Xenopus tropicalis: one gene and its partner. The protein of the gene in region 1 purifies or fractionates together with the protein of each later gene. This does not show direct contact. Links are inferred from orthologs where the notes say so. Each region holds a gene or a part of one and is shown on either strand. Other genes may lie near its edges.

Region 1 (2,479 bases):
CCACCTTTACACTGAGCTTTACTCCATTTTGAAAATGTTGGGAAAAAATGTTGTTTAAACGACAAATTCACAAAAGTGTCTGTAAACTGTCTTTCTTTCACCAAAAACGGAAAAGTGGCGGTTGAGTCGGAATTTATGCGGATTTCTGTTTGTGAATCTGAAAAAAAAGTGTTTTCCACCAGTTTTTTCACCACTTTTACTACAAAAAAGGTCTCTCTCCACTTTTGTGAATTCCCCCCATGTCTCTTTACTCCAATTTACTGCTAAGTTGCCACAAGGTTCAGATCTTAGTGCTCCAGCCTTTTACTTTGAGAAAGGTGGCAGTAGTGTATTTAATTGCTCATTATCAGCTCTATTCTGACATGCCCAGCTTTGCTAGCCTTAACTATTCCTCTACAATACACATGAAAAGCCATCACTAATATGCAGTTTATGGAGGCGGTCATGTTTATAAAGCACTATGAGGTTGGTACATTTGCAAACATCCTACCAAAGGAATACAGAGGCCAAGTAAGAGCAAACAACTTGTTATAAATAGTATAAATAATTTATATACAAAGAGTAGTTACATTTGTACCAATATCAAATCTTTTTTATAAGAAAACATATTAATTGTTCTGATTGGTTGGGGATCTGATGAAGGCTCCCAGTTGCTTTGTATTTGCATCCTGTAGTTGCTGCAGTTGCCGTTGCCCCCGCCGCAGAAGGTACTCTATGTGCATAACATCAGTCTTTGGAATTTTTGCATTTCTTCTGAATTCATCTCTGATTCTGGGTACAAACCCAGGTTTCTCTTTGCCGGCTTGTAAAAACTGTCTGTAAAGACTCAGAATCTGCTTTTGTAGTTTGCTGTGTCTAACCATTGTGCCTCCTCACATCTATGTTAGCTTAAAAGTTCAAGTTTAAAGACATTAGTATAATTTTCTACTGTAAAAATATTTCCCTTGCAAGCGACTGATTCATATATGAGGGAAGCGCTGTGTTGCCTTGAGCAGATGATTTGTTTCCTTCTTCAGGCATCTTGGTCCAGGGAACCTCTACAAAACAAGATGGAATTCATGATTTATATACCACAGCAATGAGTAAGTACAGGACACATTATAAAGGCCAATAAACCTCTCCACGTTATCTGTGCAAAGGGTTAATTAGTATAACTCTTGCAACTACAGCCTCCTACCCACTGTGTCATCCAGCCACACATTGGCTGGATGAGGATTGGCCAGGTCTGATTTTCCGTTTGGATCAAGGTATTGACAGGTACACAGTGCACTGATGTGGTCCATAATCCAATTGCCTGCATAGCGGCAAATATGATATGTGGGCATATTGGGAAAAAGATCATCCTATATAGAGACAACCTTCTGCCCTGGCCATTGCATCCCTAACCAGGGTTGCCAGGTTGGCAGTTTTTCCACCAAATTAGGCTACTAATTTAAAGCCCTGGTACAACCCCACCAAGGTACAGTTTTGGAGCCTTGGCACATTTGTACTTTGGAAACTAGCCAAAGTTTTTTCCCCTAGTATGCTTGTTCCACTGCATGCCGGGTAATGTAGTTTGTATCTAACAATTAGCCTACAGCTAGGATTAATATATATCTACAATACCCAGAATGCAATTGGACAGTATAGACAGAGGCTCCGTTTTGTATTCCTTTGTGCTCTTTCAGGCTCAACCTGTATGTTCTACACCCTGATCTTTAGGGTATGTGGTTGTTACCGTTACTTTCTACTGGGATGTGGGGCAGTTCTACCCCCTGCTCCCTGCTCTATAGGGTATGTGATTGTACTGTTACTTTCTACTGGGATGTGGGGCAGTTCTACCCCCTGCTCTATAGGGTATGTGATTGTACTGTTACTTTCTACTGGGATGTGGGGCAGTTTTACCCCCTGCTCCCTGCTCTATAGGGTATGTGATTGTACTGTTACTTTCTACTGGGATGTGGGGCAGTTCTACCCCCTGCTCCCTGCTCTATAGGGTATGTGATTGTACTGTTACTTTCTACTGGGATGTGGGGCAGTTCTACCCCCTGCTCTATAGGGTATGTGATTGTACTGTTACTTTCTACTGGGATGTGGGGCAGTTCTACCCCCTGCTTCCTGCTCTATAGGGTATGTGATTGTACTGTTACTTTCTACTGGGATTTGGGGCAGTTCTACCCCCTGCTCCCTGCTCTATAGGGTATGTGATTGTACTGTTACTTTCTACTGGGATGTGGGGCAGTTCTACCCCCTGCTCCCTGCTCTATAGGGTATGTGATTGTACTGTTACTTTCTACTGGGATGTGGGGCAGTTCTACCCCCAGCTCTATAGGGTATGTGATTGTACTGTTACTTTCTACTGGGATGTGGGGGCAGTTCTACACCCTGCTCTATAGGGTATGTGATTGTACTGTTACTTTCTACTGGGATGTGGGGCAGTTCTACCCCCTGCTCCCTGCTCTATAGGGTATGTGATTGTACTGTTACTTTCTACTGGGAT
Region 2 (4,506 bases), on another chromosome or scaffold:
AAGCTGAGCTCTGATTGGCTCACGGCTGCCTACACACCTCCCCTGAGCACCAACCACACTAGAGAGCAGTTCCCAGCACGGCGGCGGCTGCATTTTGGTTCTGATCCCATTCTGTCATTTAGATCTCGTTAGGGATCACCGGGATGTACTAACAGTATTGGGTCTGGGCCGTGTCTGCTAAATGCTGCGCTCTATAGGCCGGGGGGATTTATAGCAGCACCTGCCTCCTATTGGTGGAAAGTACATGTTTTATTGTACTGATTATTATTATCAATGAGTGATATTAATAGGGAATGGTGCATGATGGGATTTCTCTGATAATAAAGGTCAGTGGGAAAGTAAATGCACCGAGGAGTAAAGGAAAATAACACCCAGGAAGGGCAAAGTCCCCTGAGCGCAATGGTTTATTCCTGTGGGTAATTACCCGCCCTAAATACCCAGTGGCACTTACTCACTGAACTACAGGTATTGGCCGGAGGGACTAAAAGTGACCAAATAGCACTGTGGGCCCCAGGGTGGGGGGAGGGTTGAAAGACTCACCCTTTGCCCCATCCCGTTAGGGGCTGTCAGGCCAGAAGAACTGATTGGCTGAGGACTCGCTCTGGCTCTGGGGGGCCCCAGAAATAACATGGCACCTTTTGGTATTGGAAGGGGGCCTCCTATGATGGGGCCACAGTCAAGGTCACTGAGCTCCTCCCTTTGCTGCCGGAGACCATGTGACCCTGTGCCTAATTACTGAAGGAGCCAATAGCAGCACAGGTACTCTGGGTTACATACCGGGCCCAGCGGCTACTTACAGTATCAGGGAGAACTTCCTTTCTGGCCCATTGAGCTCTAAGAGACGAACCTTCCCACATGGGGCCCCCCCAATAGCCCCTTCTGCCCCTGGTTACCATGGTTTCATTCAGTTTTACCCCCTTCCCCAGGATCAGAGTACATAGGGACTGGGGGCTGGGGCAATGGGACAGCAACATGAGATGGAACTGGGGCCCCTAGGGGCCAATACTGGGCACTGACAGAGGCTACACAGAACCTGGGGGGGGCCCTATGCACTGACAGCAACATGAGAGGGAACTGGGGCCCCTAGGGGCCAATACTGGGCACTGACAGAGGCTACACAGAACCTGGGGGGGGCCCTATGCACTGACAGCAACATGAGAGGGAACTGGGGCCCCTGGGGGCCAATACTGGGCACTGACAGAGGCTACACAGAACCTGGGGGGGGGGCCCTATGCACTGACAGCAACATGAGAGGGAACTGGGGCCCCTAGGGGCCAATACTGGGCACTGACAGAGGCTACACAGAACCTGGGGGGGGGGCCCTATGCACTGACAGCAACATGAGAGGGAACTGGGGCCCCTAGGGGCCAATACTGGGCACTGACAGAGGCCACACAGAACCTGGGGGGGGGGCCCTATGCACTGACAGCAACATGAGAGGGAACTGGGGCCCCTAGGGGCCAATACTGGGCACTGACAGAGGCTACACAGAACCTGGGGGGGGCCCTATGCACTGACAGCAACATGAGAGGGAACTGGGGCCCCTGGGGGCCAATACTGGGCACTGACAGAGGCTACACAGAACCTGGGGGGGGGCCCTATGCACTGACAGCAACATGAGATGGAACTGGGGCCCCTGGGGCCAATACTGGGCACTGACAGAGGCTACACAGAACCTGGGGGGGGGGCCCTATGCACTGACAGCAACATGAGATGGAACTGGGGCCCCTGGGGGCCAATACTGGGCACTGACAGAGGCTACACAGAACCTGGGGGGGGCCCTATGCACTGACAGCAACATGAGAGGGAACTGGGGCCCCTAGGGGCCAATACTGGGCACTGACAGAGGCTACACAGAACCTGGGGGGGGCCCTATGCACTGACAGCAACATGAGAGGGAACTGGGGCCCCTGGGGGCCAATACTGGGCACTGACAGAGGCTACACAGAACCTGGGGGGGGGGCCCTATGCACTGACAGCAACATGAGAGGGAACTGGGGCCCCTAGGGGCCAATACTGGGCACTGACAGAGGCTACACAGAACCTGGGGGGGCCCTATGCACTGACAGCAACATGAGAGGGAACTGGGGCCCCTGGGGGCCAATACTGGGCACTGACAGAGGCTACACAGAACCTGGGGGGGGGGCCCTATGCACTGACAGCAACATGAGAGGGAACTGGGGCCCCTAGGGGCCAATACTGGGCACTGACAGAGGCTACACAGAACCTGGGGGGGGCCCTATGCACTGACAGCAACATGAGAGGGAACTGGGGCCCCTGGGGGCCAATACTGGGCACTGACAGAGGCTACACAGAACCTGGGGGGGGGGCCCTATGCACTGACAGCAACATGAGAGGGAACTGGGGCCCCTAGGGGCCAATACTGGGCACTGACAGAGGCTACACAGAACCTGGGGGGGCCCTATGCACTGACAGCAACATGAGAGGGAACTGGGGCCCCTAGGGGCCAATACTGGGCACTGACAGAGGCTACACAGAACCTGGGGGGGGGGCCCTATGCACTGACAGCAACATGAGAGGGAACTGGGGCCCCTGGGGGCCAATACTGGGCACTGACAGAGGCTACACAGAACCTGGGGGGGGGGCCCTATGCACTGACAGCAACATGAGAGGGAACTGGGGCCCCTAGGGGCCAATACTGGGCACTGACAGAGGCTACACAGAACCTGGGGGGGGCCCTATGCACTGACAGCAACATGAGAGGGAACTGGGGCCCCTAGGGGCCAATACTGGGCAGAGGCATAAGCTGCAGTTGAATGGACAGACATGACACCGGGACAGACAGCCCCACGGTCACTGCTCCCACTCCCGACCCGGCTCTGACCTGCAGGACTCCCGGTAACCGGAACACCGGCCCGCTACGTCTCAAGGAGAACACGACCGCCGCCATATTTCCTCTGACACCAGTAACTCCGCCAGCCTCCCACAATGCAGCGCGGCGGGGCTATAACCATAGAGAGGCGTTACTTTCCCGCTCAGAGAGAGGGAGCTCGGGGCTAGAGCGTCCGTTTTCCTTTTCTCTCAGCTCTATGGGGGGATGGGGCGCTCTAGCCCGGATCCGCGATCTCTATGGTTTACTCACAAATAAAAGTGGGCGGTGTTTCATGGTCATGTGATGTTGAGTAACTGGTTGTGTAATTCCCTCTCGCTAGTCGCTATAGCAACGTCTCATCGATTTAGTGCGCAATATTACTATAAATGCCCCTGGGGTAATTGTTGTACCAATAAGGCCATGGTGGGTGAGGGGAAGAGACCTTTTAAAGGGTAAGTAAAGCCTCAGCAAAAGCAATAAAGGACAAGTGGGAGGAGCCAAACTGTCCCTGTGGGCGGGGCACTAACAGCATGCATAGAGTGGCCCTGCCCCCCAAATTCACTGGCTGAGCTGCAGATATAAAAGGTCGCCCCCTGTTATTAGCTATTATTGGGGGAAGGACAGACAGGGGCATCTATTGGATAAGGGCAGCGCCTCAGTCAGGAAATGGTTAAAGGTTATTGCCCCTCTGAGTCTCCGACTCCTGTCTCTGCCGCAGCGTGAGGGGCAACTCTGCCCATGTCCAGCAGATGGCAGCAAAGTGTAAGGAAATTAAAGGAGATATAAAACCTAATGAAAGTATAAATCTGAGCAACTCCCCAATATCCATTCATCCCTCATTCTCTGTGTCTGTCCCTTTCCCTTCCCTGCACTGCTGGTTCTGACTCCTGATACAACTCCCCAATACCCATTCATTCCTCATTCTCACTGGGTTTATAGTTATGTGTAACTGTCACTGTGTCTGTCCCTTTCCCTTCCCTGCACTGCTGGTTCTGACTCCTGATACAACTCCCCAATACCCATTCATCCCTCATTCTCACTGGGTTTATAGTTATGTGTAACTGTCATGGTTCCTGCCTGACCATGGGAAAGAGAGCAGCCCAGGAGCAGGAAGTACAGAGAATCAGAGCTCTGTACCTGGGTAAGTACTGGGGGGAGATTGGATTCACTTACCCAGGGGGGAGGTTCCTGCCTGACCATGGGAAAGAGAGCAGCCCAGGAGCAGGAAGTACAGAGAATCAGAGCTCTGTACCTGGGTAAGTACTGGGGGGAGATTGGATTCACTTACCCAGGGGGAGGTTCCTGCCTGACCATGGGAAAGAGAGCAGCCCAGGAGCAGGAAGTACAGAGAATCAGAGCTCTGTACCTGGGTAAGTACTGGGGGGAGATTGGATTCACTTACCCAGGGGGAGGTTCCTGCCTGACCATGGGAAAGAGAGCAGCCCAGGAGCAGGAAGTACAGAGAATCAGAGCTCTGTACCTGGGTAAGTACTGGGGGGAGATTGGATTCACTTACCCAGGGGGGGTTCCTGCCTGACCATGGGAAAGAGAGCAGCCCAGGAGCAGGAAGTACAGAGAATCAGAGCTCTGTACCTGGGTAAGTACTGGGGGGAGATTGGATTCACTTACCCAGGGGGAGGTACCTGCCTGACCATGGGAAAGAGAGCAGCCCA

The links.
Region 2: the proteins of sdhaf1 (region 1) and sdhb purify together in Homo sapiens (co-immunoprecipitation; 3 studies listed by BioGRID and IntAct, with this or other methods). This does not show direct contact. The link is inferred for Xenopus tropicalis from reciprocal best matches to the Homo sapiens genes SDHAF1 and SDHB.

The regions. Positions count from the first base shown.
Region 1 is NC_030684.2:131,183,443-131,185,921, reverse strand, and holds sdhaf1 (succinate dehydrogenase assembly factor 1, mitochondrial), read right to left. Parts: upstream 952-2,479; 5' UTR 864-951; coding exon 609-863; 3' UTR 512-608; downstream 1-511.
Region 2 is NC_030683.2:131,925,555-131,930,060, forward strand, and holds the start of sdhb (succinate dehydrogenase [ubiquinone] iron-sulfur subunit, mitochondrial precursor), read right to left. Parts: upstream 2,993-4,506; 5' UTR 2,913-2,992; exon of another isoform or gene 2,912-2,912; coding exon 2,846-2,911; intron 1-2,845. UniProt on the Homo sapiens protein: Iron-sulfur protein (IP) subunit of the succinate dehydrogenase complex (mitochondrial respiratory chain complex II), responsible for transferring electrons from succinate to ubiquinone (coenzyme Q).